5 linked regions of the Macaca mulatta genome follow. The protein of the gene in region 4 interacts with the protein of the main gene of each other region in a pairwise test. Links are inferred from orthologs where the notes say so. Each region holds a gene or a part of one and is shown on either strand. Other genes may lie near its edges.

Region 1 (6,155 bases), on a different chromosome or scaffold from region 4:
GGTGTTAACTAACAAGAGGAAGCGGCACATCATGGAAGAGATCGTATGTCCTACTGAAAAAAAAATCTGACTTTTATTCTGTGAGCAATTGAGAGTTATCTTAAAACTAAGGAATGGAGAAATACGATTAAAGATTACATTCTTGTCTTTAGAGGAGTTGGGGATATTACCCCAAGCACTTCGTATGGCCACTAGGAAACAAGAAGAGCTGACTGGAAACACCTAAAAATGTGCTAAATACCCATCCAGAGGACGAGTATTCTCTAATTTTCCCCCGTGCTGCTTCTTAATAATATGCTTCTACGCAAAGATGCACTAGCTGATGTCGACACCACACGTTCCTTGATCCTTCAGAGCGCTTAATTTTCTTTGTTGATTTATCGTTATGGGCCACTCTCAACACAAGGATTTTGGTTTATTTTCCTCTCTGATCATTAAGAAAAATATATTTGAAATTTATTTTAGCATTTTATAAACTTTCTTCTTCAAACTTCCCTACAAAACTGCTAATAGGGGTCAGGTGTGATGGTTCACGCCTGTAATCCCAGCACTTTTGGGAGGCCGAGGCAGGTGGATCACCTGAGGTCAGGAGTTCGAGGCCAGCCTGGCAAAACTCCGTCTCTAAAAAAATTCAAAATTAGCTGGGCATGGTAGTGCATGCCTGTAGTTCCGGCTACTCTGGAGGCTGAGGCAGGAGAAATGCTTGAACCAGGAGGCAGAGGCTGTAGTGAGCCCAGATCAAGCCACTGCAACAGAGCAAGACTCCATCTCAAAAAATAAAAAACAAAAAAACTGCTATAGTTAGAAAAATAAAATGTGTAATACTTACAAACGGAATTTTATCATGTAAAAAATTTTAAAGACAAAAAAAATCTTTCACATAAAATACCAACTTTCAAATCTGAAATCCAGGTAAAATTACTTCCAAGGTTTAAACAGAATTTGAAGTAAAGCGGTGTCTACTTCTTTTTCTTTATCAACACAAGAGATCTACTTCAGAATTTATTACATCATCATAAATGCACTTTTGTATGTTAATGATTATATAAAACTTTTTTTTTAATACTAGGTATACAGAAAAATGTAGTACTGAACTAGTTGGTATCTGCTTTTGCAAAATTCTGCAAAATGCTGTTAATTCATCTTCAAGATGGTTGTGTTGGGTGTATAAAAGAAAAACCATCCACTCTCAGAATGATTACCTGAGTCACTCCTGGAGAAACCATCTCAAACTCAGAATCAAAATAACTAAAATAAACCTACCAGAAGATGACAAGGAATTCTGCAAAACTGTCTTTTTAAAGTCCTTCACTTAAAAAGAAAGTTTTGAATGATTTAGGATAAGTCAGTTAAACGATTTTTTTCTATCACAAACTAAGCACAAGTAGACTGTAGATTCTAAATGAGTCTCCTCAGTGTTGAGCTGTGCACTTAAATACACAAAGGTTTCCATCAAGCAAACAATTTACCTTTGACTAAAAAAATAATATTAAGGAACCAGACACCAAATGTCACCTCCCAATCCCCCCCATTATCTCCGTCTTTAAACTGAAACACACAACAAACTATTGGGCATTTAAGTACCAGGCATTCTCTCACAGCAGTGTGTTTACTCAACCACTCTCTTGGCCTAAACCTCCCCTGAAATGAAAAACGAGCCTTTTCCTTAAAAATTTCCTAAGGGAGGGATGGGGCACGTAGAGAAGGCTTCTTTCCTCAGACAGGGTTGAGTCTCTGTTATACCATCTATATACCTTTTCTGTTTCCCTGGCTAGTCTTATCATTTTTACTGGCAACACAAGAACAACGTGTTCTATAATCATAGCTGTAATTCTCCAATACCCCCAAAAAAGGAAATATGAGAGTAAGTCACTGTGTAGGGTTTTTGCTTGTTTTTTTAAACCTGCTTCTCCACTATTATTAGTCTCTTACTATAGCAACATAACAACTTCCCTAAGGAGAAAAAACTTCAAACTGTGGACATTTCCTGGCCTAAAACTGTCCTAATGGCAACTTACACATACTTATAAGTCCCTCATGGCAACTTACACAGTTATCCAGTAGAGGAAATGTTCACTGTAAACACGGCCAATCAAAAGATAAAAACGAAATATTAAAAAACACATCATACAGGCTTACATTAAATTATCTCGAGATAATGGCTGAGTTAGGACTTTTCATAATTCCTCAAAGGTTTTCCCCCAGCTAAAACTACGTAAAAAAATCACACAACTTACATAAACTTGCAATAAAATACATTCACTGCACCTTGTCTTAAAACCAAATCCTTACCCAACAAGTAGCTCGCTTACACTTACTTCTATTCAAAGAAATTTGTAAATGCACTAAAAAGCTTGCAATGTAGTTACGCAATATTAATCTCATAATTCCAGAATATATTTTAAATTCCTAAAACTGAAGTTTTTCCTATGGAAATAATGTAGTTGGTCTTCTCTTGGACTCAACCTCACACAACAATAAAGGATTTAACTTTTTCTTTTAGCACTAGAATTGCTATGCACCTCACAAAAATTGTTCTCATTCAACAACTGAAATACAAGACATAGACTTCCAAAACGGGCCTCACTTTACACTTAAGATAGGAAGAAACCTACTTTCTATCAGATGTTCACACTCTTTCAGTATTCCTTAAGAATACAGAAGAAAAAAAAAAATCTGTACAGTTTTACTCTCTTTCCTAAAGTACAACACATATCGACTAAGGAAAGGCACCAAACAGCCCCTGGGATTCTTCCAGGATCACCAAGTCAGACTAAAAACTTACCACAGGCAGCGCTACAAAATAAAAACCTACAAAGCTCCAGAGCTGGGTCACACCTTATCAGGCCTCTCAGGATCTGTCGGCAACCGCAAACGTAAAAGCAAAAGTCACACGCACTGAAGGTTTCTCAGCAGAGGAGCGCAACCGAAGGGCTAAATAAAAGCACGCGGGTGGCACACTGAAATGTCGTGGAAGGCAGGAAGCCCCGCTTACTATGAACCTACAACTCTCCGCTCGCAGCTGACGCATCGCTGCTGCCCGCACGCGCCTGGGTCCGTGCCAACAGCACCGGGCAGCCCTCGCCAGGCACCTCCAGGGCTTCTCCGCCTCCCCGGCGCGCCCTACACCTGACGGCCGAGTTCTAAGCCGGGCGGAAAGGTGAGAAACGACGCGCTCCGCGGAGCCCGAGGGCCGGCTGCTCCCAGCTCTGCCCGGGCCGGGGCAGGGGCCGAGGGGCGGTCTCACTCCCGAGGGGTCCCGCGCCGCGCCCTGGCCTCCCCGCGCCGCTGACAGCCGGGAGCGGGCGACGGACGCAGCTTGCGCCACCTCCAGAGCCCACTCCCCGCCGCAGCCCAGAGCGCACGCCCGCCGATGCCCACCCGCCCACGCCCCGCCGGAGCACGCCGTCGGCCTCGGGGACCAGGGACGCGGGCCCGGGCGGACGGCGGCTCGGGCGGGACCGGACACCCAGGAGGCGCCCCCGCGGGACCGCAAGATGGCGGCGGCGGCGGCCGCGCCAGGGCCCGGCTCCCGTCCGCCTCGCCCCGGCCGGCGCGCGCACCGCAGCGCGGGCGGGCGGGAGGGGACGAAGCGGGCCGGAGCAAGGGGCAGGCCGGCCGAGGCGGCGGCGAGGCAGCAGCCGGGAGAGGGCAGGCGCCGGGGCGTGGGGGAGGGGGCGCTCCCTCTGGCCGGGGCGGCCGAGTTGTCCTCCGCGCCCCCCGCCGCCCGCCAGCCCTCCGCGCGCCCCAGCCAGCCCTGGGGTGTCCCCGTCCTGCCTACCTTTGAATTTGAGGTCTGTGGGCGGGTCGAGGACCAGGATCTGCTCGTGCTTCGCCATGGCCCCTGAGGCGGACGCCATCGGAGAGACAGCGCAGAGCGGGGGCGCGCCCGCGGCGGCGGTTTGCTGACTGGGGGCGGGGGTCGACGGCGGCTCGGCCGAGCTCTAAGACGAGGCCAGGCTCGCAGCTCCCGAGCCCTGACGCCTGTCGCTGTGTCGCCGGTTCGGTGGGCCACCCGCTGGGTCACCAGCTCCGGGTCTCACAACTGACTCAACCCCACACCAGCCGCCACGGCCACGCGCACTGCGATCCTCGGCGCCCCACGTGACGGCCTCTGCGTGCCTACGTGCGCGCCCCGGCGGCCAGGAGCCACTAGCGCTCGTCCCGCCCTCCAGGCCGGCCTAGCGCGGCGCGGGGCTGCTGCGCCTGCGCGCTCGCGGCTTGCCGCGGCCCCGTGCGCAGCCCAGCTGTCAAGGGAACGGGTGTGGAGGGAGGCGGGGCAAAGGTCCGCGGGGCCGACGCGATGCGCAGCGCAGGGCTGGCGGCGCAGTCCTCTGTCACCTTGAGCTGCGAATACGGAACTAGAGAAACTGCTCTGGCAGCGCTTAACAGTCTTCCAAGTGGGAATGCCCAGTGGAAGGGACAAGAAGCAGTGGGGAAGCGCCCACTCACTACAACTCCCGGCATGCCTTCTGCGGGGCGGGGCATTCGCCGAGGGCCTGGCCCTTTGCGGCCCTGCGCGGTGCTTGCTGGGAACTGTAGTAACGGCTGTTTGTGGGCGGAAAGGCGAGCTAGGTCCGTTGGAGGCGAATGGGGTGGGGTTCGCGGACGCTAATTTTGGCTCAGAGCGCGTCTAGTTTGCGCTAGAAAAAAAACTTTTGAAGACTGAAACGAGGCCCATATGTTAGAAATATACTAATAAAATCTGCCCTGTGGAGAACAGGCTGGGGGGATGTGTCCGTTTGCTCTAATTCTATCCGTCCCTCTGTTGGCAGGGCTGCATTCCTTGTGGTATCCAATCCAGCCTCTCCTGGTTCCTGAGTTGTCTCCAGTGATGCAAAATCAGATAAGGAAACACATCTCGTCTAGGAAGCAAGGGGAAATATGACAAAGCACACAGAAGCTAGAAATAAAAGTCCAAATCTACACCATCGAACCCAATAACCTTCTTCAGTTTTGATTAATGATGGATCCAAACCAAAACAGTTGTCACGTTCACATGTTAGAAACGAAACCCATCTGCATCACTTATGATAGGCGGTAGTAAACTGAACCAAATGAGAAAAATCCCAGCAGCAAACTTGTTGACAAAACTTTAGCCGATTGCCACGGTAGTCTGGTACAGGAACGTCAAATGAAACCAATGTGCTGTAAATAAACCTTTATTGTATTTTATGATACGGTTTGAATTTAAATCCCTAGGAAGCTCCACGAAACAAAAGACATATTGATGCTAACGCTGTGGAGCAGCACAGTTTGTCTAGAAAATAAATGAGACGAAACAGCAGTCTAGATGTAGGCACCAAGTCCAAGTTTTCATGTGGGATCCAGGTATCAGAGGAATCGCTGGAATCGTTAGCCTGCTGGAATCGCTAGCCTGGCATTCACAGAAGATCGTGCCACCCAGGAGGAATGTGTCTTCAGCCATGTGGTTCCTTGGAGTGAGAGGTGAAGCCAGCCATACTTCTGGGTCCGGTGGGGACTTAGAGAACTTTTCTGTCTTACAAGAGGATTGTGAAATGCACCAATCAGCATTCTGTAGCTAGCTAGAGTTTTGTAAAATGCACCAATCAGTGGTCTGTAGCTAGCTATAGGTTTGTAAAATGGACCAATCAGCACTCTGTAAAGTGGACCAATCAGCAGGACATGGGCGGGGACAAATAAGGGAATAAAAACTGTACACCCCAGCCTGCAGGGGCCGCCTGCTTGGGTCCCTTTCTAAGTTGTAGAAGCTTTGTTCTTTTGCTCTTCACAATAAATTTTGCTGCTGCTCACTCTTTGGGTTTGTGCCATCTTTTTTTTTTTTTTTTTTTTTTTGAGATGGAGTCTCGCTCTGTTGCCCAGGCTAGAGTGCAGTGGCGCAATCTCAGCTCACTGCAAGCTCCACCTCCCAGGTTCACGCCATTCTCCTGCCAAAGCCTCCCAAGTAGCTGGGACTACAGGGGCCCGCCACCACACCTGGCTAATTTTTTTATATTTTTAGTAGAGAAGGGGTTTCACCGTGTTAACCAGGATGGTCTCTATCTCCTGACCTCGTGATCCACCTGCCTGGGCCTCCCAAAGTGTTGGGATTACAGGCATGAGCCACCATGCCTGACCTGGGTTTGTGCCATCTTTAAGAGCTCTAACATTCACCGCGAAGGTCCAGGGCTTCA
Region 2 (6,206 bases), on a different chromosome or scaffold from region 4:
CCAAATGTGATGAGAATGAAATCCCATCTTCTCACTGATGCCTACAAGAATCCACCCAATCTGACTCATACCCACCTCCCTGACCTCAACACATACCACAAGTACAACTTTCCTTCTCTCTTTCTATTCTTGAGCCAAACTAGGCTACTTTCTATTCTCCAGCAAAACCCATTCCCACATCAGAACCTTTGCACATGTTGCTGATTCTGCTGGAGAAACTGTCCTTTGATCCTATGTAACTGACACTATCTTGCCATCCTGAGAGGGCTTCTTTTCAGGTAGCTCCCACTCCAACCCCCATCAGCCTCCATCACATTTCCCTGCTTATAATTCATGTCATTACCAGAACTTTATTTGCTTTCTTATGTATTAACTATCTCTTTTGTCTAAAATACAAACTCCATGAAAGGGCTGTTGTCTCCTACACTATGCTCTTCCCATCACCTAGAAGAGTGCCTGGTACATAAAAGGTGCTGAAAAGATATTTCCCCAGGCGGGAGTGCAGTGGCACGATCACAGCTCACTGCAGCCTTGACCTCCCAGCTCAAGCGATCCTCCCACCTCAGCCTCCCTAGTACCTGGGACTCTAGGCACTAGTCACTATACTTGGCTCATTTTTGGGTTTTTGGAGGTTTTTTGTTTGTTTTGTTTGTTTTTGAGATGAAGTTTCGCTATTGTCACTCAGGCTGGAGTGCAATGGCACGATCTCAGCTCACTGCAACCTCTGCCTCCCAGGTTCAAGTGATTCTCCTGCCTCAGCCTCATGAGTAGCTGGGATTATAGCCTAAATTTCAACATGTTGGCCAGAGTGGTCTCGAACTCCTGACCTCAGGTGATCAGCCCACCTCGGCCTCCCAAAGTACTGGGACTACAGGTGTGAGCCACTGCACGCGGCCCCCTCTGCTTTAAAAACCACTACTGGTTCCTCGTGTCCTTCTGCGGGGCCCTCAGTCTCGCTCCTTCATCTGCTATACAAAATCCTCCACAACCTGTTCCAGGCTTCCCCACCAACACCACACAACAGGATGTGCCTTGTCTTTCTCTTTGGAATGCCCTGTCTTAACTTCTGCCCGGCCCGGCACGGTGGCTCACGCCTGTAATCCCAACACTTTGGGAGGCTGAGGCGGGTGGAACACGAGGTCAGGCATTTGAGACCAGCAAGGCCAACGTGATGAAACCTTGTCTCTATTAAAAATATGAAAAGTAGCTAGGCATTGTGGCAGGCGCCTGTAATCCCAGCTACTCGGGAGGCTGAGCAGAGAAGTGCTTGAACCTGGGAGGCGGAGGTTGCAGTGAGCCGAGATCGCGCCACTGCACTCCAGCCGGGGCAACAGAGCGAGACTCTATCTCAAAAAAAAGAAAACGAAAAAAAACTTCTGCACATCCTTCAGAAAGACTGTCCTCATTTGTTCTCCGCTCCACCCCCGCCCGGGCCGAGCGCTGTTAGTGGCTGTGTCTTCTGACTCAGACCTCTGTAATAGCATACCTGGGTAATACCTGTGTATGTGTCTCCTCAACTATTCTAGGAAGTCAGGGGCCATGGTAATTCATATGTGTCCCCATCGATTGGCATAGTAAATAGCATAAAATAGGCACGGATGGGTGGGTCGATAGATGGACCGATGGGTGCGAGCGAGTGAGTGAGTGGATGTTAGCTGGGATGGGTGGGTGAAGGAGATGGAGAGTCAGAGACATTGGAAAAGGGAACCCTGCGAAGATCAAATGTAGACACCAGGAGGAGCTGACACGCTGCGGTGAAGAAGCGGGAGGGCTGGCCACAGAAGGCGGTACGCTCCGCGTGGAGCAGGTGAGCCGCGCGCACTGAAGCAAGTATCACGCAATTGAACTGCTCACCCACGTGTTCCCCCCCACCATCCTCCTTCCCAGACGGCGCTTCAGCTCATTCCACCGCCCCCAACAGCCCGGTCGCCCCCACCGCCACTGAGAAAGCAAACAAAGGGGAGGAGACCCCTAAAGGTTCTGGATGCCGAGGGCCAATCGAAAGACTTAGATCCCCTGGAAGGCGGGAGCCTTGGTTTAGGGGGGCCCAATCGGTTTCAAGGGGTTGCGGCGGGGCGGGGAGATGGGCGGGAAGAGCGGGAGCGGGCCCCGCGCGCGGGGGAGGGCTCCCCGGCTGGGACGGAACGCGAAGGGTTGGGGGCGGAGCCAATGGCCCCGTGTGTCTGCTAGGAGAGGGCGGGCAGCGCCGCGGCGCGCGCGATCCGGCTGACGCATCTGGCCCCGGTTCCCCCAGACCAGAGCCGGGCCGGGAGGGAGGGGGAAGAGGCGAGAGCGCGGAGGGCGCGCGTGCGCATTGGCGCGGGGAGGAGCAGGGATCTTGGCAGCGGGCGAGGAGGCTGCGAGCGAGCCGCGAACCGAGCGGGCGGCGGGCGCGCGCACCATGGGGGAGAAACCCGGGACCAGGTAAGGGAGGTGGGGCCACGCGGCGGGGCATGGGCGGCGGCTCGGGGCGGGGGCTGGGACGGTCCCAGACGAGGACGCCGCGGAGAGGATCTGGGGGCCGGACGCCTGGGTCCCTAGGGACAGCCATCCGGGGCCGCACGCGCAGGTCCTCGAGGATAATGAGGTTGGGGGGAAATGCCCGGGCCCCTGCAGAAAGCGAGGCCGGAGGGGGATCAGAAAAACCGGTGTCGGGGTTCTCTCAGGGATGTGGGGCCAGACTACTGGGCTCTCCCGTGCCCAGGAGTCTGGGCAGGCTGCGATGCAGGGACGGAGGGAGGAGCAGGTGGCTGGCCCCGAGGGGTCGTGTACGGGGAGGCTGGATGCTGGGAGGGGGATCCCCTCCAGACTCGTGCCAAGCCAATGCAAAGCCTCCTGTCCAATATCCCCCAGGTAGTCGCGCTGCCCACACCTGTCCCGAGGGCCGGGTGGCTCCTCATCCAAACTTCTACCTTCCCCTGGGTTGCCAGGAGCAACAGCTTCATCTTGGGAGAGCCTGACCCTTCCTGAAACTAGATCGGATCCCTCTCCCTGGGGGTGGGGGAGGCAGTATTCACGCTGGGCGCGCGTCCACTCCCCGGATGTTTTCTGTGCAATCGAGGCTCTTTCCTTCCACTGATACCCCGAGTTCTCTTTTTTGGTCTCTAGCAAAATCCACTTCCTGTTGTGACTCAACACCCCCAAGGGGTAAGGGGTGAATGCCTGAGTCCCAGGGGAGCAGGAGCAAAAGACAGAAAGGTTGGGGCTGTAGGCCTCAACCCAGAGGGGATCGGGAATAGGGAATTGGTCCTGAGCTCTGGCTTGCTCTGCAAAGCATCATATCGACCCCACTTCCAACCTATAGAGTAGGAGAACCCAGGTTTCTGAGCGTCAAGTAGATGAGTATCAGAAAGAGATCATCAGAGAGATGATCGGTATCCTGGATTAGGGTTTAAACATCCCAGAGAAAGGGGAAGTTGCTGCCTTGTGGGAGGCCCCTGATTTCCGTTATGTGGTTCAAGGAGTGGGACAGATGGACCAAAGGGGACTGCTGACTTGACCCAATTTCCCTCACCTCCATCAAATTCTGGGCCACAGGAAATGGAGAGAATAGCAGGAAGTGTGAAAGGACATCTGCTTCAGCTACCCCTGCCCCCATTGGGCACCTCCCTGGTCATCCCCACACTCTGCCTCCTTGGCCAGCCTAGTATCTGCACGCTGCTCCTCCTCAGCCTGGCAGGAGGTGGCTGGGTTAGGATCCAAAGGGCAGGTGCCTTGCAGCTGCTCCAGGGCAGTTGCCCCAGAGCCACACTGCAGTTGGCCCACTGACTGTGGCTGTCACAGCCCTGTGCCAGGGCTCCTAATGGGAGGACACCCTGGGACAAAGAGGAAAACCAGAAGCAAAGGGGAGGGAGAGCCTGGATGATGCCACAGCACTCAGCCCCCAAGTTGGGACAAAAGATAGGATGTTTATTCTAGCTGCCACCGTATCGATGTTTATTCCCTTTTATTGGTTAGGAATACCTGGGGGCCTCCATACCCTTTACCTTATAATCTTTGGACAGCTTGGCTTTCTGGGAAGAAGGGACAAGTGAAGTTGTAGCAGAAACTGGGCCTATGGTAGAAACCATTTAGGGCCAAAGGCCAGAGTCATTGCTCTCCTATATGCTCCAGCTGTCAGAGCTGTAGACCAGATGGAAAGATGGTTAAGTCTTACCCAGATACTGCGGCAACCTGCCCATTGGGGTCCTCTGGGAATGGGGTGGTAGAGTTGGAGGAGGGATGGGCTAGTTGGCAGGATTTCACGTTCTGCTGTCTATCTGAGGATCCTTTCCAGGGATCACTGCTGAGGCAGAGTGGATTGGAAGGAGTAAGGTGATGCTTCAAAGAATAGGCTCACAATTGGCCATATCACTGGGATTGCCAAACACTTCCTTACCCTCCCAGCAGTGGGTGGAGTCCAGGCTTAAATTGTTTCAGCAACTGGAAAGCGAATACCCTTCAATTGAACAAACTATTGATGCCAGCTACAGAGACGGATAGTGTAATATTGATTGAGAGGATGGACTCGGAGCCAGACCGCCTTGGTTTCTATTAATTCCCACCATTTACTCTCTCTGTGACCTTAAAACACTTAACCTCTCTCTGCCTCAGTTTCCTCACCTGGAAAATAGAGACATTAGGACCTCCATCACTGGGTAGTTTTATTTTATTTTATTATTTATTTATTTATTTATTTATTTATTTGAAATGGAGTCTTGCTCTGTCACCCAGGCTGGAGTGCAGTGACGCAATCTTGGCTCACTGCAACCTAAGGCCGGGCGTGGTGGCTCACGCCTGTAATCCCAGCACTTTGGGAGGCTGAGGCGGGTGCATCACCTGAGGTCAGGAGTTGGAGATCAGCCTGGCCAACTTGGGGAAACCTTGTCTCTACTAAAAAACTACAAAATACAGGCCAGACGCAGTGGCTCAAGCCCGTAATCCCAGCCCTTTGGGAGGCTGAGGCGGGCGGATCACTTGAGGTCAGGAGTTCGAGATCAGCCTGGCCAACATAGGGAAACCCCATCTATACTAAAAATATAAAAATTAGCAGCCAGGCGCAGTGGCTCACACCTGTAATCCCAGCACTTTGGGAGGCCGAGACTGGCGGATCACGAGGTCAGGAGATCAAGACCGTCCTGGCTAACACGGTGAAACCCCGTCTCTACTAAAAATACAAAAAATTAGCCGGGCGTGGTGGTGGGCACCTGTAGTCCCAGCTACTCGGGAGGCTGAGGCAGGAGAATGGCATGAACCTGGGAGGCAGAGGTTGCAGTGAGCCAAAATTGCGCCACTGCACTCCAGCCTGGGCGACAGAGCAAGACTCCATCTCAAAAAAATAAAAAATTATCCAGACATGATGGCAGGCACCTCTAATCCCACCTACTCAGGAGGCTGAGGCATGAGAATCGCTTGAACCCAGGAGGTGGAGGTTGCAGTGAGCTGACAGCGTGCCACTGCACTCCAGCCTTGGTGATAGAGCGAGACTCCATCTCAAAAAATATATATATACAAAACATACCTGGACGTGGTGGCTCACGCCTGTAATCCCAGCTGCTTGGGAGACTGAAGCAGGAGAATCACTTAAATCTGGGAGGCGGAGGTTGCAGTGAGCTGAGATTGCGCCACTGCACTCCAGCCTGGGCAACAGAGCGAGACTCCGTCTCAAACAACAGAGTATTACAAGAGATGACACATTTGAAACACGTGGAACGGTGCTGGGCATGGAGAAGTCACTCTGAATGTTAGCAGCATTAGCATCTTCATGATCTGGGTGGCACTGTGCTGGAGATGCGTAAATGAATAAGGCCTCCGAGGCTCACAGTCTGAGGAGGGAGGCAGCTAACTGTCCGTGTGTGCTACCACACCACAAGTAAAACATCAACAAGGTGTGACAGGAACCCAAAACAAGGAGTGACCAGAGTCTGGGCTGGGTCAGCTTCCTAAAGGCTGGGCGTTCAAACAGGCTTTTAAGCTGTTGAGGTCGGAGTTGGGGACAGTTGGAGGTGAGTAGAGTAGAGTCAAACTTGGGTAGGGCCTATGGTAGAAACCATCTAGGGCCAAAGGCCAGGGTCATTGCTCTCCTCTATGCTCCAGCAGTCAGCGCTGTAGACCAGATGGAAAGATGGTTAGGTCTTACCCAGACACTGAGGCAACCTGCCCATTCTGGTCCTCTGGGAAGAGCCTGGGTGGTTCCTAGGGCAACCAGTGGCCATTACTAGGGAGGG
Region 3 (6,281 bases), on a different chromosome or scaffold from region 4:
GAGTCAACAGGGGGCTGCCCTCCTTGGCTAGAGTCAGCCGGTCTGACGTGCCATACAGGCCCAGATGAAGCTGCTCCAGCTCTGAGGTGAGAGGAGTGAGCATAAGCTGCAGGGCGACAAGGACTCCCACAACTCACCCGCCCGGCCACCACCCAGGACCGCTGACCCTGGCACAGCACAAGGGTCCCCACACCTCACCCATTCAGCCACCACCCACACCTCACCTGCCTGCCCACCACCCAGGACCACTGACTCCAGCATGGCACAAGGGCCCCCACATCTCATGCGCCTGGCCACAACCCAGAACCACTGACCCCGACACGGCAGATCCTGAAGGCCAGCCGGCGTGATGCGCGCACAGCCACGAAGATCTAGTAAGCGCAAGTTGGGAGAGCCGTGGAGTAGGCGGCCCAGGACCTCGTTGCTTACAAAGTTGCAGGCTGAGCTCGCCAGGCAGAGTTCCTCCAGGCTAGGGAAGCCTGGTCCGGGAGCCACCCCTCGTCCCAGAGGCTTGGGCAGCCACATCAGGTTCAGCAGCCGCAGCACCTGGGGGCAAGGCCCAGGCTGTAGATAGGGGAGCGTATAAAAGGTGGGAGAGGCAGGGCGCCAGGTACCTGGAGCTGGGGGCAGCCTTTCTGCAGAGCCTCAACAGGCAGCTGAAGGGGAATGCTGTTACGGTTGATGCCGCTGCTCACCTCCAGAACCTGGAGCTGGGGGCAGCAGCTGCCCTGCAGAGGTGCGGGGGAAGGGGGTCACAGGGTCAGTGGCCTGGCAGTCCCCGGCTCAGCATCTGCCTCTGCTCCCACCAATGCCAACCTACCAGCAGTGCACCCACGATGGCTGTCGTCTGGGAGCTGTAAGTCAGCCACAACTTGCGCATTCGGGACCCTGCCTCCTCCAAGAAGCTTACCACAGCTGTGGACTCCACCTAGGGTCCCAATACAAGAGCACCCGTCACCCCAGCCTGGGCTTTTTCAGGGCCCCTTGGGACACAGGGCTCACCATGGAGTGCTGTAGGTCCAGGCTATGGAGCTGGCAGCAGGCTTTGGCTAGCATGACCAGAGCATCAGCAGTCACACCGTGGCAGCCGGAGAGCTTTAGGAAAGTGAGCCGAGGACAGGACTCGCCTACCAGCTGCGGGGAGACAGAGGGGCAGCTGGGGTTGGGAGAGGGCAGGCTAAGATCCACAAGGGAAACAAACAGGTGGCTGGTGCCAACCCCACGCTACCGCCTTAGCTGCGACCTCCTTTCTGCCCATGTCAGGCCTACTTGGGTGTCCCCGCCTCTGACACCTCCCTGCTGGAGGAAACAGCAGGAAAGGAGAACCAGGCAGGCAGGCAGACCTCCCGATGGAGCAGCGTTGGGCCCTCAAGGTGCCTGACCCACTTCCTAGAGTACTCAACAGTCCCAGAGGGTCACAGCTGGTGTGCAGGGCAGCCTGGAGCTCTCACCTTCAGCACGGGGTGTACCTGAGACTTCCAGTGGATGAGGGTCAGCCTCTGGAGCTGTGAAAACCTGGGCCGACAGCAGAGGCAGAGCTGCACTAATGTTCCCACACGAGTCCTTCCCACCCAACACCTTGGTGCAGGGAGACAGAAGGAGCCTGGAGCCAGGGGACAAGGAAAAGAGGGAACCCCTCACCGATTAGGCATAAGCCACTCCAGGGAAGCAAGAAGCTTCTTCTCCGCCTTGACCCCGCCCTTGGCAGGCCGGCCGGCCAGCGGGGACGACAGGGTCACGGTGTGCCAGAGCGCGGGTTGGGAAGCGGCCTCCTGCCAGCGGCGGCACACGCGCGCAGCCCTGGGAGGACAGCGTGCTGAGGCTGCCGGCCCCTTCGTAGGTGATACCCCCTCTCGCAGCGCAGTGGACATCCCGGCTCAAAGCCGGGCTCCTGGGACTCCAACCGGGCGCCTAAGGGGCTGCGCTCTCGGGCGGAGGGGTGCGCGCTCCGATGCTTTCGCCCTCCGCCCCCGCCCGGGCCACTGCTCGGACCACGTCTGGCCCAAGTCGCTGCGCTCGGCGACGGGCCCGGCAGCAGCGTTACCTGCCGAGGAAGGGCATGGGCCCGTCCGCCGCCACCAACAACCCGAAAATCTGCACCAGGATTTCCAAGGGAATGCGGTCTCCCCAGCCCGCGTCGGGCCCTTCCTCGGGCGAGGGCGCCGGGTCGGGCCTGAGCGTGGCCTTGGGCTTGGCCGCGGCGCGGCCCGGGGGCGGCTGCCGGGGAGTGCGGCGGGCAGCGCGGGGAGTGCGGCGGGCAGCGCGTCGCTGTGCGCGGGTCCGGGCGGGTCCGGGTTCGGACAGCACCAGCAGCATGCTGTCGGACGGAAGCAGGTGGTACCCCGAGCCGCTCGGCGCCAGCCGGTCCCACCACCAGTCCTCGGCCGAGCGGGCCCGCGGCGCTGCCCGAGCTCTGCGCCGGACCTTCCGGGAGGCCGGGGAAGCCATGACCACCGACGGCGCTTGGGGCAGCTCCAGGGAGCGGAACGGGCGGGGCTTACAGACTGACACCCCCCGACTCTTCTCTGCGCCCGCCCGCTGACCCGCTTCCGGGGCGGGACTTCCGGCCGTGGGCCATGCCGGGGGCGGGCCCGGAGTCGCGGCGGGTGAGTCTGGTGGTGGCTGCTGTCGGGTCCTGGGCTGTCTGGACTGAGGCGGCGTCCCTGGGCCGGACGGCGGCGTCCTGGCGTGGCGGGAAGCCGGCACTAGAGCGGGAGCGCACTGGGCGCGGGACCGGGAGGCGTAGGGTCGCCCATCTGAAGCTGGTGAGAGGGCGGCGCCCCTACGAGCAGAGCCGCCCCAGCCACTCCCCTGGGATCTGACTTGGCTCCTGCGGTCCCGGGCACCGCGAAGCCCTGGGGCGTGCTTGGCTCCTGCTGGTAGGCGCCCTGTCCCAGTGTCCGGCTTGGGGTGGTGGTTGCAGTGACTCCAACCCCGCCTCTCCCTGGAGAGGAGGGCTCCACTCGCTCCTTCGGCCTCCTCCCCTGGGGCTGCAGCGACTCGGGCCGGCTTCCTGCTTCCCTACCTGCCGGCGGTCCCGACGCTGGCGGGCGGTGCTGCTGGGTACGTTTTAGCCAATCCTCCCCATCCCCACTCCTGCCCGGGGCTCCCCCTGTTCCCTTGGTCTCACCCTGTTCCCTTGGTCTCACCCTGTTGATTCCGGTTCTGTATCCTGCCTATTTGTCTGTTTCTTTCAAGCTAGAAGAGGTCTTCAGTTCCCAGAAGAGCCAAAGCGTCTCTGGACCTAGGTGGGAAAAGAACTGGCTGTGACCTTTGCCTTGACCTGGAAGGGCGCAGCCTTGGACTGAATGGCAGCACCCACACCCGGCCGTCCGGTGCTGACCCACCTGCTGGTGGCTCTCTTCGGCATGGGCTCCTGGGCTGCGGTCAATGGGATCTGGGTGGAACTACCTGTGGTGGTCAAAGAGCTTCCGGAGGGTGAGTGGGAGGAGGTGCAGGTGTGCCCAGGAAGGTGGGCCCTGTCAGTTCTTCTTCCCTTGGGTATCATGCCCCTGACATGGTCTCCTCCCTTCCCTGCAGGTTGGAGTCTCCCCTCCTACGTCTCTGTGCTTGTGGCGCTGGGGAACCTGGGTCTGCTGGTGGTGACCCTTTGGAGGCGGCTGGCCCCAGGAAAGGGCGAGCGGGTCCCCATCCGGGTGGTGCAGGTGCTGAGCATGGTGGGCACAGCTCTCCTGGCCTTTCTGTGGCACCGCGTGGTCCTAGTGGCAGGACAGTCGCATTCCGTGGCCTTCTTAGCACTGGCCTTTGTGCTGGCGCTGGCATGCTGTGCCTCTAATGTCACTTTCCTGCCCTTCCTGAGCCACCTGCCACCTCGCTTCTTACGGTCATTCTTCCTGGGTCAAGGCCTGAGTGCCCTGCTGCCCTGCGTGCTGGCCCTAGTGCAGGGTGTGGGCCGCCGTGAGTGCCCACCAGCCCCCATCAACGGCACCCCCGGCCCCCCACTCGACTTCCGTGAGCGTTTTCCCGCCAGCACCTTCTTCTGGGCACTGACTGCCCTTCTGGTCGCTTCAGCTGCTGCCTTTCAGGGTCTCCTGCTGCTGTTGCCACCACCATCTGTACCCACAGGGGGCTTAGGATCAGGCCTCCAGGTGGGAGCCCCAGGAGCAGAGGAAGAGGTGGAAGAGGCCTCACCATTGCAAGAGCCACCAAGCCAGGCAGCAGGCACCACCCCTGGTCCAGACCCTAAGGCCTATCAGCTTCTCTCAGCCCACAGTGCCTGCCTGCTGGGGCTGTTGGCTGCCACCAACGCACTGACCAACGGCGTGCTACCTGCTGTGCAAAGCTTTTCCTGCTTACCCTACGGGCGTCTGGCCTACCACCTGGCTGTGGTGCTGGGCAGTGCTGCCAATCCCCTGGCCTGCTTCCTGGCCATGGGTGTGCTGTGCAGGTACACAAGGGCCCTTCAGCCCCTGTGCGGGTGGAACTCAGGGCTGGGAGCCAGGTCCTGGCACAGTCAGCCCTGACACTCTGCTCACTCTCTACAGATCCTTGGCAGGGCTGGGCGGCCTCTCTCTGCTGGGCGTGCTCTTTGGGGGCTACCTGATGGCGCTGGCAGTCCTGAGCCCCTGCCCGCCCCTGGTGGGCACCTCGGCAGGGGTGGTCCTCGTGGTGAGCACACGGGACGTGAAGTGGGGTGGGGGCGTTTTCGTGGAGCAGGCACATCTCACGCTCAGCTGCTGCTGTGTCCCCTCAGGTCCTGTCGTGGGTGCTGTGTCTTGGTGTTTTCTCCTACGTGAAGGTGGCAGCTAGCTCCCTGCTGCATGGCGGGGGCCGGCCGGCATTGCTGGCAGCCGGTGTGGCCATCCAGGTGGGCTCTCTGCTCGGCGCTGTTGCTATGTTCCCCCCCACCAGCATCTATCACGTGTTCCACAGCAGAAAGGACTGTGCAGACCCCTGTGACTCCTGAGCCTGGGCAGGTGGGGACCCCGCTCCCCGACGCCTGTCTTTCCCTCAACGCTGCCACCATGCCTGAGTGCCTGCAGCCCAGGAGGCCCGCACACCGGTACACTCGTGGACACCACACACTCCATAGGAGACCCTGGCTCTCTGGGGCGGGGGGAAAGGGCAGGGAGCAGGCTTGGAGCCAGGGACCGGTGGGGGCTGTAGGGTAAGCCCCTGAGCCTAGGACCTACGTGTGGTTTGCATAATAAAACATTTTTATTTAATGAGTTGGCATTAATTCTTTGAGCATCTCTTTCTGTGTGGATGCTTCTGTGAACTAGAGCCATGGCCGGGCCTGTTTAACAGGGGCCACCTCTCTCCAGGCCCTGGGCAGGTCCTTACCCACCGCAGGCTGGTCTCACAGATCGTACAGTCATGGCCCTCTGAGCCCAGACTCCCCTACATTCCTTCTTGGAACTGCCCTGGGCTCTCTGGGCACACAGGAGCTACCAGCTTCGGTGGTCAGAGGAGTAGAGGAGCCTCTTCCCAGCAAGGCCACTGCTCCACGAGCACCTCTCAAGGGCATTAGGGTCAGTTGGATGGGGCTGCAATGTGCCGAGCCCCGTGCCCACCCTTAGCCCTGGAGTGACGGCCTGCCTGCTGGCTTCCCAGGAGTATCCTGCTACGGATTTATACCGGGGGTTGGTGTGCAGGCACCGGGGTACTCAGTGAGGGGGACTCAGAAGAGACAGAGTTTAAGGTTTTAGCCCGTCAGGACCCTTTGGCCTGAGTATTGCCCCCTCCCCTGAGCCTCTAGCCTCTCAGTGCCAGCTCCTTCTGCAATCAGACCCTCAAAGGCCCCAAACCCTTTCTTTAGGCAGATTTAGCTACAGCTGCCTTCTCCCTGGGCTGATGGCACACCGCCCCTGGCCCTGAGCAGCCTGGGCCTGTAAGTGTTGGCATCTGCAGGGAATAGGACCTCAGCACTGACCATGGCCTATCCTGGGCTGGGTGGTTCTCAGGCACCCACAAAAAGGGCTGGAGCCGCGAAAGAACTAATTGAGAGGAGCCCCTGAGCCTGGCAGCAAGGATCTGGAAGAAAGTGCTGGGGGAGGCCGTGCCAAGGTAGGAGCCTGGCTTTCTTCACCTTGTGGGCAGCCACCCCAGGGAGGCAGGACACCGAACTGTGAGCAGTGTGACGGGCCTGGCAGCAAGGCCCATTCTCACAGGCAAGAGGCCCCACTTCTGCAGAGGAGCCCCTGCAGCCGCAGGGAGCGTACAGGCACTGGGGAAGGTGGGTCTGTTCCTGCTGCCCAAGCTCTGCCTGCGACGGTTCGGCTCTCTGGAGGCCCTTTCTGATTGTCCTTGGGTTGGCTTGC
Region 4 (5,374 bases):
CAGTGCTCACCCAAACGTCCCATCATTGAGCTGACAGGAAGCAGAGAAGGCCAATGCTTTTCTGGTTGGGGACCTTGGCTGGGATAGAAAGGAAGAGAGGAGTGGAGTCAGCTTCATGAGCCAGTGAAATGGCAATGAACCCTGTAGGCCGATCTGCCCTAGCCTGGCGTTGCCAAGGAGGACGATCCACTTCATCAAACCTGGGCCAAGCTCTGGCTCAGACACACAGGCAAAAATAGAAAGGGGCTGGGAGAAGAAATGTGTTTACTTTTGTGATTTCCCCTAACGTGCCTCTTGACAGTATTCTAATCTCTTCACAAGCAGGAGCCATGGGCCACAGGCCTCACCTCCATTGACAATTCATGTACAGACCTGAAGCCTTCTTAACACTTCAGGGTCACTATTTGGGCAGCTAGAAAGCAAGTTTAGGAGGCAGCATGATGGAATGGAAAGAGTGCTGATGAGGGTGTGTTACTGCCTAGGTGAACTGTGAAAATCCCTCTCCAAGGCTCGGCACAATCAAGTGCTTGCAGAAAGAATGTATATATCTGCTGAGATTTTTAGTTTCTACCAGTGACTCTCAATCAGGGGCTAATTCACACCTCAGGGGCTCTTTTGCAATATCTGGAAACATTTTTGCCTGTTATAAGCAGGGGATGCTCCTGGCATCTAATGAATAGAGGCCAGAGGTGCTAAACATCCAATGATGCAGCCCTCACAACAAAGAGTTATCTGGTCCAAAATGCTAACAGTGCCAAGACTCAGAACCTTGGTTTATACTGAACCGAGGAGAGTCAGTGGGAGAAGAAAACAGGGACCAAAGGAAAGAAGGAAAAGGGGTTAAAATTCTATTTCTAGGTCACGTGGTATCCATCAGTTATGTGTTCTCCAGTTTTTCTCCCCATGACCAATGCCTTTTTAATTTTCCCTCGGAATTACGGGGCCATGTTCGAGTAGCTTCCTCACAAGAACATCTTCCTTATCCCTAAAATGCCAAGCCCTGATGCAGTACAAAGAGCTCCACTATAACACATGGCCAAGACATAAATATAAACAGTTATGAAACAAGTAGAACTGGAAGGTGGGTGGTGGGGGCGCGTGGAGAGAAAAAAAACATATGCCCATAACTCCGCTTCTGTGAGTCAGTGTTTCCGAGGTAACAACACAGAACAATAACCATAGGGAGAGTTGAGCTATACTAAGAGCAGGCAGAACTGATTTGGGGCATGAGTGTCAGGAGAGATGCAGCTTTGCAGCAGCAGATTCAAAGGCAAATGAAAGGGTTAAGCAATCTGTGCATGTCATTCTTGTATCATTCTACATTAAGTCATGGGCAGTTATTACAAGTAGTTACCTGTGGTTTCCAGTCGGGGAGGCAATGGCACTCCAGACAAGGGGTTTTGGAGAAACAGGTGCAATGAAGGCATGGTCAAACAATTTATTTACTGTAAACTTTAGACTTTGCTCAGGAAAACAACTGAAGCTGCTCCTCAAATCCCTGCCTAAAATACCCCGTGTGAGCAAATAAGAGGAGCGGGGAAGAGTCCATGTTCACAGCTGAAAGGTCCGAGATATTCAAAATCCTCAAGTCCGAGGGTGTGGGAAGGAAAATCTCCTTCAGATACAAATTACCAGCAGCAATATATTACCCCTAATACTTGAATAGTGAGGTAGATACATGGAAAAGTCATGAAAACATAGCAGACTCAGGTCCTCTAGGACTAAAGCCCTTTAGACATAAACTTACAAATTCCATGCAAAGAGGAACTGAACTGTACAAATAACAAATAATCACCAAATAAGTTTTCTCTCTTTTTACAGCTTAAAAAAATAAAAAAGGCAGAAGGATGCCCCTCCTCCTGCATATCTCTATACAATTTTATTCTAAGTTTATTACCCTCAAGTTAAATAGTCTGTTTAGTGTTCTGTTGGGGGGGGGTGGTCTTAAAAAGTAGAAAAACTGCTTTACAGCAGTGAGTCATTTGTACTACAACTCCTCCCTTGTGAATCAATGTTATCGCTAGGCACAGTACCTTGATGGCCCACAAAGTCTTCCGTGCCTGGGAGGTCTTCACACAGCAGTTTATTTTCTTTCTCCTGTTCCAGGTGATATCCACTCTGCTCCCCTGTGTTGCCATTGCTGTTGCTGGAGTAGCCATTCCCACAGGCCTTCAAAGAAGACCTGCGCAGACACAGAAGCTCCTGGAAGGCAATCCTGAAATCTGGGCTCCGGCAGTAGATAAGGGGATTGAAACCAGAATTGACATAGCCCACCCAATTTAGGAGGATGTAAACTTCCTTAGGGATGAGGTTATCCTGGATCACATGCACAATGTTAACGATGAAGAAGGGCAGCCAGCAGAGGGTGAAAGTGCCCATGATGATGCCTAACGTCTTGAGGGCTTTGTGCTCCTTCAAGCAGAACTTGGAAGATCTGCGGAGTCCATGCCCTGTCCGCCCATCCTGCTCCACCTGGCTAAGGTTCTGGGCATGGAAGCGGCCCTCAGATTTGTCAATCTTCTGGAGCTGCCTTTTGGCCTCCTGAAAGACCCTGGAGTAGACGAAGACCATGATCACCAGGGGAACGTAGAAGGACACGATGGAGGAGGCAATGGCATAGGCTTGGTTCGTGAAGAAGTCACAGCAGGTCTCCTTGGCATAGCAGTTGATGGCTTCCTGGTGGGTGGCCCGGTACCAGTGCATCTGAATGGGCAAGAAGGAGGTAAGGCCTGACACGATCCACACCATCAGAATGATCACCCGGGCCTTATTCTTGGTCAGCAGGCTCTGATACTTGAAGGGTGAAGTAATGGCAAAGTAGCGATCCACTGCGATCACGCACAGGGTCTCAATGCTGGCTGTGACGCACAGCACATCAATGGAAGTCCAAAACTCGCACCAGAAGTTGCCAAAAGTCCACATTTTCATGAGAATATGGGCGGCCCCAAAGGGCACCACTGCCAAGCCCATGACTAAGTCAGCACAGGCCAGTGAAGTGATGAAGTAGTTGGTGACCGTCTGCAGACGCTCGAACTTGGCAATGGCTGTGATGACCAGCACATTGCCAAACACGATGGCCAGGACGATGAGAGACATGACGATGCCCATGCCCACCACCCACGCCTCGTCCCGTTCCTGCGTGACATCGTGGTCCGGCGCATGGCTTCCGTTGGGTGCCAGCAAGAAGGCGCTGCCGTTCCCGGGTTGCCCCATGGCGCGCAGTCTGGCAGGTGAGCGCACTGTCTGCAGGCGCCTCAGCGGGCGGACCCCCGGCGGGGCTCTGCGGGCCGCGAGCGGACTCCTGGAAGCCTCATTCAGCGGCCGTGGGGTGGGTGTGGTGGGGACACGTCTTGTACACTTAGCTTGTCGGGTGCCAGGGGCTCGCGGTGCCCGCCAATTCCAGCCTGTGCTCTGGAGAAGCCGCCTCGGAGTGCGCTCTGCCCGTTATGTGCACAGGACTTTAGGGGAACTGCCCTCGCCGTGACGTAAGGGAACTTTCGGCCAATGGCACGCCGGCAGGCCCGAAGGGGCGAGGCACCCATCCCCTTTCCTCCCCTCCTCTCGCCCTCCCTCTGCTCGGGCTGGCCCGGGAGGGGCCCAGCTGCTCCCCGGCGGGCGGGCCACCACTCCTTCCCGGCTACCCTGGCTGGCCCCAGAGGGCTAAAGCTGGAGCTGGCGTGCTTACCAGCCAACCCAGCAGCTTTTGGCTCTTCTGTGGCCGCTACCTGCCTGCCCTGGGCGCCTGCGCGGCCTGAGGTCTCAGGGCAGAGGGCAGCACACACCGGCACTGCCCCACATTCGGAGAGAAACGAGAGTGCCCACCAAGGCACGCACATACAGGCACAAATACACCCCGGCAGACATGCTCAGACTTATACGGAACCACAGCTATAGACACTGAGACACACCCTCCCGGCTCACCGACATGCACACTCGCGCGCGCGCTCACACAGAAGCTGTCAGGCACAAAGTCACCCCTGTCCAACACAGAAACGCGGCCACAAACAAACACAGAAGCACCCAGAAGCACAAAGGCATGGTGACACACACAGAAAGTAAACACACACGCTGGCTTGGAGGCATCCAGAGCGACACAGACACGGATGTCTCCATCTGGGTACTCACAAACTTCCCTCACCCAAGCACTGCTAATGCCCCCCTCCCAGCATACACCCGGTAACCCAGTATATTCACTTTCAAACATTTGGCAAGAGCACACAGGAGGTGACTTCAACAGCTGCCGATTTCCTCAGCACACTCGTTGTCAAGTACTTTGGGTGCCCTCCTTGGGAATTTGCAGGCATGAAGACAGTTTTACCCTTTGGATTTCACCTGGAGCAGGAGTATGCATGTATGTATTTCGGGACGGAGAGAGAAAGTTGTGTACTTTTGTTTTAATTTTTTTGTTGTTGTTTTGTTTTTAACTCTTGAGAGTGTGGCATCACTCCCTCATTATCTGTTGAACTGGAGATGCACTGAGAATTCAAACAATTTCTTCAGTAATCCCAATGCAACTAAAAAATTCCTTTCATCTGCTGGATAGTTTGTTAATCTTTCGGGTTGCACCATATGAAATTGCCACCATCTGGCGTCTGTGACTTACCAAAATGGCAAATTCATATGGTTCAGAGTCTTAAGAGTGTCTTAACATTAAGAACATTTGGAGCTATAGAAAGCAAAAGATCTTGGCCAATATGGTGTAACTCTGTCTCTACTAAAAATACAAAAATTAGCCAGGCGGGCACTTGTAGTCTTAGCTACTCGGGAGGCTGGGACAGGAGAATCACTTGAACCTGGGAGGTGGAGGTTGCAGTGAGGCGAGACCGTGCCACTGCACTTCAGCCTGGGTGACAGAGCAAGACTCCATCTCAAAAAAATAAATAAATAAATAAATAACAAATATAAATATATATATATAAACAAATATATAAATATATAAATACAAATTATAAATAAATATACAAATAAATAAAAACCAAATATATAAATATATATATATATATTTCTTCCTTATGAAATAAAAAAAGTAAGACCAAACCTCAAAAGTAAGATCTTTGTTCATGAAATACTATCCTTTGCATCTGGCATGTGACTTTACTGCTAAAGTGAAATTAATTTTCAGGGTTTGATTTCCCATGTATTAGTGGTGTCTTTGAAAAACTGAAACTATTTCATGAAGTGTAACTAAACATACTTTGCAGATTACATAATAACATAACAATGGCTAACATTTATGGACCATTCTGCTATGTGCTTTTCATGCATTATTCTATTTAATCCTTCCCACAGTCCCATGGGGGTGGGGACTATTTTTAGCTTAATTAACAAGTGAGGTTCGAAGAGGAAAATGGCCTTCCCAGGGGCAATGGCTGGG
Region 5 (6,222 bases), on a different chromosome or scaffold from region 4:
TACCCCGTATCTCCTTTTTTCTGCCCTAATACCTGCTTGGGCAGCTCTCCCAGGAACATAGGCACAGGGACTCGGAAGGCCCTCACCTGCAGCGCCAGCTGGCAGTCCTCAATCAGGCCCTGCACCAGGTAGTAGCGTGCTTCGCCCAGTAGCTCCCCCAGTTCTCTGGTACTCTCCGGCAGTGGCACAGACCCATCCCGCAGGTAATTGAGGATTGTACCAAAGTGGCGGCCGCTCCGGTCAATCAGCACCCAACCTAGTGGGGTGGGGAGAAGCAGGGGGAAAGATGGCTTTGCTGAGTGACCTGGAACTACTAAATTAAAAATTATTTTTTTGTAGAGACGGAGTCTCACTATGTTGCCCAGGCTGGTCTCAAACTCCTGGGCTCAAGTGATCCTCCCATCTCAGCCTCCCAAACACTTGGATTATAGGTGTGAGCCACCAAACCTGGCCTAAATTATAAGAAAAAAGGATTCCAGCCAGGCGTAGTGACTCACACCTGTAATTCCAACACTTTAGGAGGCTGAGGCGGGTAGATCACCTCAAGTCAGGAGTTTGAGACCAGCCTGACCAACACGGAGAAACCCCATCTCTACTAAAAATACAAAATTAGCTGGGCTTGGTGGCGCATGCCAGCTACTTGGGAGGGTGAGGCAGGAGAACAGCTTGAACCTGGGAGGTGGAGTTTGCAGTGAGCCGAAATCGCGCCATTGCACTCCCTGGGCAATAAGACGGAAACTCCGTCTCAAAACAATAAAAAGAAAAAAGAAAAAGAAAAAGAAAAGAAGGCCAGGCGTGGTGACTTACGCCTGTAATCCTAGCACTTTAGGAGGCCGAGGTGGGCGGATCACCTGAGGTCAGGAGTTCGAGACCAGCCTGACCAACATGAAGAAACCCCGTCTTTAATAAAAACACAAAATTAGCCAGGCGTGGTGGCGCATGCCTGTAATCCCAACTACTCAGGAGGCTGAGGCAGGAGAATCGCTTGAACCTGAGAGGCGGAGGTTGTGGTGAGCCGAGACAGCCTGGGCAACAAGAGCGAAACTCCATCTCAAAAAAAAAAAAAGAAAAGAAAAGAAAAAGGATTCCAAAGCCACAAAAAAGTCTGAATACTGATCTGTCTCAAGCCTGTGCCACAGCCAAGAAATCTCTTTAAAACATCTCCAGCGAGTTCTCTCATAAGTTTATACATATCCAGCCAGAGAATTAATTCATCCAAATCTGGTCTACAGTCAGAAGACTCTCACCACGGCCGGGCGCGGTGGCTCAAGCCTGTAATCCCAGCACTTTGGGAGGCCGAGACGGGCGGATCACGAGGTCAGGAGATCGAAACCATCCTGGCTAACACGGTGAAACCCCGTCTCTATTAAGAAATACAAAAAACTAGCCGGGCGAGGTGGCGGGCGCCTGTAGTCCCAGCTACTCGGGAGGCTGAGGCCGGAGAATGGCGTGAACCCGGGAGGCGGAGCTTGCAGTGAGCTGAGATCCGGCCACTGCACTCCAGCCTGGGCGACAGAGCGAGACTCCGTCTCAAAAAAAAAAAAAAAAAAAAAGACTCTCACCACGAGAAAGTTCTTGCAGAATTACCTTATCAATAAACCGCTAACCCCCGATGTTAATTCTCACCATTCTATTTAATTAAAATGTCTACCTCCACCGTCCAGTTCACTGCCATTTTAACTTTTATATTCTTCATAGAACTTACTATCAAAAAAAAAAAAGAAAGAACTTACTACTATCTGCAATTGCATATGCATATACATTTTGTTTACTTGCTTATTGGTCTTCTGATCTCTCACCTCCCTAAAAAAAGGGAAGTTATATAATTTTGTCAGGTTCATTTACCTATCTCCAGCACTAACTGATATTTTACAAATACTCATTGGACAAATGAATTCTTCCTTTTTTTTTCTGAGACAGAGTCTCGCTCTGTCACCCAGGCTGGAGTGCAGCGGCGCCGACTCGGCTCACTGCAACCTCTGCCTCCCAGGTTCAAGCGATTCTCCTGTCTCAGCCTCGCAAGTAGCTGGGCTACAGGCGCACACCACCACGCCCGGCTAATTTTTGTATTTTTAGTAGAGACGGAGTTTCGCCATATTGGTCAGGCTGGTGTCAAACTCCTGACCTCTGGTGATCCACCCGCCTTGGCCTCCCAAAGTGCGGGGATTATAGGCGTGAGCCACCGTGCCTGGCCGAATTCTTCACCTTTGATACCTGAAGGCAGATCTCCGCCTCCCAAATTTTTATTCTACTGCTCTCACAGTCCTTGTTAACCCCTCCCTTAAGACTCTCCCACTCCCAAACTCCAAAACTTCAAGGTCTCACTTGGGCACGAAGGGTCCAAACTTGAATACAACACTCCAAGAAGGTAAGGTTCACCTGCCAAGGACACCTGTCCACCCTCCACTCTGGTGTCCCTGGCAAACCCAAAGCAGCCTCCTTCTGCAATGTGTATATACAGATGGATTCCTAGAGTGTACAGGGACCTGTGTCAGGGCAACACAGAGGCAGACAAGATCTCCCAGCCCTCCTGGCTGGTTGTTAGCAGTTCTGAAGCAGAGAGGGAAACAAAAGGCTGGGCGGTCGGAGGAAACTGATGAAGGCTGCCAGGAGTAGTACTGCAGGCAGCAGGGCTGGTTCCCAAGTCTTGAGCTGAGGCGTGAAGGGTGGGAGAGGTAGTCATGAGGATTATGAACTGACACGTTCAATCACTTACCACAGCGCCTGGCAGAGTTAGGGGTTCCGTAAGTGTTGGTTATTGCTGGGGGTAAAGGATTGGGGGAGGAGAAGAGAAATTATGAATGAGAAAAGGCGAGAAGATGGGATGTCGGGGCTGGAGGGAGCTGAGAATGAGTTGACGGGACAGCAGCGGGCAGAGAGAAGGGGCATGAGGAGCCCCGTTGGTGAGAGACTGAGGGGAACGGGAGTTGGGGATCTGGGGATGGGGGCACGGTGGGGGCGCCGCTAGTACCTCCGGCATCGGTCAGCACCTCCACGCGGCCGCTGAACATGGCCTTCAGCATGGTGTCCTGTCCAGTGAGGGTGCGCAGCGTGGTGTAGTGCAGCGAGCCGCCCACGTTCAGCTTCACGTATTTGCTGTTAGGGGTTAGCGGCTTGAGACCGTAGGCGGCGGGGCCAGGCTCGAGACCGGAGGGCTTGGGGGCTTCCAGGGACGGGGCCGCGGGGACCGCCGGGCCCGAGGCCTCCGCCGACATACCGGGTAGCAGCGGCAGACGGCGATCCCAGGCTCTCTCCGCGCCCTGCGACCTGCTCCCGAAGACCCTCGGCCAGCCCCTAGCCCTCGGGCCAGACCGCTCCGCACACACGCCCACTCACCGCCTCTACTCAGCCAGACCGGCCCTCCGCCCCATCTCGCTCGCACCACCCGGAAGCCAGTGCCGGGTAGCTGCGCAGGCGCGGCCCCGCCCCTGAATGGGGGCGGGGCTGGAGTATGGAGCATGCGCAGTGGGCTTGCTGGGGAAGCCGGTGGATAGGTGGCGTGTGGCCCTAAGGTCCCCCGGGCGGGTCGACGTGCTCTTCCCTCTGGTCTCGAGTCCCCAAGACCAGATCGAGGATGCGGCCGACCCGCTGCCCGATGTGGAAGGCTAAGTCTCCGCCTCGTGATTGGGTCTCTGCTGTCAGAGAGCTTCCCGAGCTTGAGGAGAAACAGACCGTGAGGTCTGGGCATTGGGCAGTTTCCCGCCTCCCAACCCCGCGCACTGAACAGACCGTGACGAGAACTGGAACAAAGCGCGGAGGGAAGCTCTTAAAGGAGGCCAAGGCGGCCGGGCGCGGTGGCTCACACCTGTAACCCCAGTCTGTAAGCCTAGCTACTCGGGAGGCCGAGGCAGGAGGAACGCTTGAAGCCAGGAGTTGGAAGCTGAAGTTGATACATGATCGGACCACTGCACTCCAGCTTGGGCAACATAGCATCCTTTAAAAAAAAAAAAAAAAAGAAGCCAAAAGGGGTAGCAGTGGTGCCCGGGCACCAAGGATAGAAGGCCTCTCTGAGGAGGTGATGCCGAGCTGAAGCTAGGAAGCGGATGTGAGGGAAGAGTTCCAAGCAGAGGGAAGGCAAATGCAAAGATCCTCAAGGCAGGAACACGCTCTCCGTATTTGAGGAGCAGAGTGCGTGTCAGTGGTGGCAGCAGCAGCTGAGCAAAGGTCTTAGAATCCTAGCTAATGTCATGGGACCTAGCACCCAATCCCAAAAGAAAGAAGAAAAGATAGGAACCCACTGTTGACAAGAAGGTGCACTGAGAAGTGTTTTTATCTGACCCGATCTGCATCCAGTTGAGAAGCCGATATATCAGGGATTTAACAATCCACTTCAATGTCTAGCAAGGGAAGTTGCTGGAGGGAAAACACAGAGTCAGAGTTCTATCTTCAGCCCTGCCAGCAGGTCCCTGGGAGATGCTGGACGAGTGACTTTTCTCTGGGCGTGGTTGGTGCAATCACCAACCTCGCAGGAGAGAGGTCAGAGTGTAAATGAGTGACGTAGGCCCGTTACTGGGTATAAGTGGGCTTATAGTGACCGGGAGCTCATGTTCTACCAAAGGGGTTGCCAATTCTGATTTCGAGTGTGGCGGTGTAAAAGAGAAAAGCAACTGCTGCCAGCTGGGAGCTGGTTTGCACCCTCACTCCAGAAGCCTTGATGTTGCTAGGAGCTGGCCTGGCACCAACAGTGAGGCCATGGTGGTGTCCTGTTGAGCATAATTTCACAAAAAACATCAGACAAGGTCCCTCTTTGACTGATGATAGAGTAAAAGACCATTCCATAATTAAGCCTCAACACAGAAACAAGAACATTGTCCAAACCACGAAAATTACCAACACAATCCTTACTCCCACAGGGTAAGTCACTGCTGCTTCTTTTTTGGTTGTTGTTTTTGTCTGTTTTGTTTTGTTTTTGAAATGAAGTCTTGCTCTGTTACCCTGGCTGGAGTGCAGTGATGCGATTTTGGCTCACTGCAACCTCCACCTCCAGGTTCAAGTGATTCTCCTGCCTCAGCTTCCAGAGTAGCTGGGATTGCAGGCAACCACCATCATGCCCAGATCATTTCTGTATTTTTAGTAGAGATGGGGTTTCACCACGTTGCCTAGGCGGGTCTCGAACTCCTGACCTCCAGTGATCTGCCCGCCTCGGCCTCCCAAAGTGCTGGGCCTACAGGCATGAGCCACTGCACCCGGCCACTGCTGCTGCTTTACTAAGTACAGTTTTAGCTTGATTCATTCCTCCCATCTGCTAGATAAGAATTATTAAGATAACCAAAAATAATTATCCCTACCTCCTGATAGCATCCAACTCAGAGCAAATGCCCCCCTTTTTGAACCTGCCTAAGAAGTCCCCTAACGAAAGCTCCAATCCTGTAATAAGTCCTTTCACACATGCTCTTGCTGAGATATCCATGTTGTTCAGCTGCGCTTGTTCAACTACAGGTGCTTCCTGGTGGTCCTTGGTTGGAAGATACTATCAGAAATGGAGGAGCAACGAAGATTCAGCTGAAGCCCTCACTGCCTGGGACTGGGACCCTTGACTCATCATTGTATGTACACCTGAAACTGCTTATGTCTCTGAGGTGCCATCCTACTGATAGTTGAGAGCTAATTGAATTGCGTTCTGATATTTTGTTGATATCCGTAAGCATTGGGTTTACTTTTTATTTTATTTATTTATTTATTTATTTGTTTATTTATTTATTTATTTATTTTTGAGACGGAGTTTCACTCTTGTTGCCCAGGCTGCAATGGCACGATCTCAGCTCACCGCAACCTCCACCTCCCAGGTTCAAGCGATTCTCCTGCCTCAGCCTCCTGAGTAGCTGGGATTACAGGCATGCACCACCACGCCCGGCTAATTTTGTATTTTTAGTAGAGACAGGGTTTCTCCATGTTTGTCAGGCTGGTCTCGAACTCCTGACCTCAGGTGATCCACCCGCCTCGGCCTCCCAAAGTGCTGGAATTACAGGCATGAGCCACCACCGCGCCTGGCAATGCCAGTTAATTTTTATATATTTTTTTATAGAGATAGGGTTTCGCCATGTTGCCCAGGCTGGTCTCAAACTCCTGAGCTCAAAGTGATCCTCCCACCTTGGTTTCCCAAAGTGCTGGGCTTATAGGCATGAGCCACCATGCCCTGCCAAGCAGTGGGTTTATTTGGTTTTTCAGTTTTTTTACTCCTGGAATAAGGCCCCCACGCTGGATTTTTGATTATCTGATCAG

Evidence for each region.
Region 1: the proteins of ADRB2 (region 4) and VAPA interact in a protein complementation assay, tested with the Homo sapiens proteins (2 studies listed by BioGRID and IntAct, with this or other methods). The link is inferred for Macaca mulatta from reciprocal best matches to the Homo sapiens genes ADRB2 and VAPA.
Region 2: the proteins of ADRB2 (region 4) and ARRB2 interact in binary tests that used the Homo sapiens proteins (3 or more experiments, as listed by UniProt). The link is inferred for Macaca mulatta from reciprocal best matches to the Homo sapiens genes ADRB2 and ARRB2.
Region 3: the proteins of ADRB2 (region 4) and SLC52A2 interact in a protein complementation assay, tested with the Homo sapiens proteins (2 studies listed by BioGRID and IntAct, with this or other methods). The link is inferred for Macaca mulatta from reciprocal best matches to the Homo sapiens genes ADRB2 and SLC52A2.
Region 5: the proteins of ADRB2 (region 4) and KCTD13 interact in a protein complementation assay, tested with the Homo sapiens proteins (2 studies listed by BioGRID and IntAct, with this or other methods). The link is inferred for Macaca mulatta from reciprocal best matches to the Homo sapiens genes ADRB2 and KCTD13.

Annotation. Positions count from the first base shown.
Region 1 is NC_133423.1:80,874,253-80,880,407, reverse strand, and holds the start of VAPA (vesicle-associated membrane protein-associated protein A), read right to left. Parts: upstream 4,086-6,155; 5' UTR 3,861-4,085; coding exon of another isoform or gene 3,782-3,860; intron 3,549-3,781; exon of another isoform or gene 2,786-3,548; intron 1-2,785. Other genes in the region: uncharacterized protein LOC114673840, read left to right, coding at 4,304-4,575, 4,776-4,821. UniProt on the Homo sapiens protein: Endoplasmic reticulum (ER)-anchored protein that mediates the formation of contact sites between the ER and endosomes via interaction with FFAT motif-containing proteins such as STARD3 or WDR44.
Region 2 is NC_133421.1:6,238,032-6,244,237, forward strand, and holds the start of ARRB2 (beta-arrestin-2), read left to right. Parts: upstream 1-2,324; 5' UTR 2,325-2,401; coding exon of another isoform or gene 2,402-2,424; 5' UTR 2,425-2,453; coding exon 2,454-2,587; exon of another isoform or gene 2,588-4,625; intron 4,626-5,303; exon of another isoform or gene 5,304-5,505; intron 5,506-6,206. UniProt on the Homo sapiens protein: Functions in regulating agonist-mediated G-protein coupled receptor (GPCR) signaling by mediating both receptor desensitization and resensitization processes.
Region 3 is NC_133413.1:154,752,618-154,758,898, forward strand, and holds SLC52A2 (solute carrier family 52, riboflavin transporter, member 2), read left to right. Parts: upstream 1-2,541; 5' UTR 2,542-2,606; exon of another isoform or gene 2,607-3,063; intron 3,064-3,198; exon of another isoform or gene 3,199-3,202; 5' UTR 3,203-3,308; coding exon 3,309-3,438; intron 3,439-3,540; coding exon 3,541-4,408; intron 4,409-4,505; coding exon 4,506-4,629; intron 4,630-4,714; coding exon 4,715-4,927; 3' UTR 4,928-5,186; downstream 5,187-6,281. Other genes in the region: FBXL6 (F-box/LRR-repeat protein 6), read right to left, coding at 1-81, 315-546, 615-728, 821-928, 1,003-1,134, 1,452-1,515, 1,642-1,800, 2,045-2,448. UniProt on the Homo sapiens protein: Plasma membrane transporter mediating the uptake by cells of the water soluble vitamin B2/riboflavin that plays a key role in biochemical oxidation-reduction reactions of the carbohydrate, lipid, and amino acid metabolism.
Region 4 is NC_133411.1:157,783,750-157,789,123, reverse strand, and holds ADRB2 (beta-2 adrenergic receptor), read right to left. Parts: upstream 3,254-5,374; 5' UTR 3,214-3,253; coding exon 1,966-3,213; 3' UTR 1,934-1,965; downstream 1-1,933. UniProt on the Homo sapiens protein: Beta-adrenergic receptors mediate the catecholamine-induced activation of adenylate cyclase through the action of G proteins. The beta-2-adrenergic receptor binds epinephrine with an approximately 30-fold greater affinity than it does norepinephrine.
Region 5 is NC_133425.1:28,638,971-28,645,192, reverse strand, and holds the start of KCTD13 (BTB/POZ domain-containing adapter for CUL3-mediated RhoA degradation protein 1), read right to left. Parts: upstream 3,398-6,222; 5' UTR 3,216-3,397; coding exon 2,972-3,215; intron 260-2,971; exon of another isoform or gene 257-259; coding exon 87-256; exon of another isoform or gene 1-86. UniProt on the Homo sapiens protein: Substrate-specific adapter of a BCR (BTB-CUL3-RBX1) E3 ubiquitin-protein ligase complex required for synaptic transmission.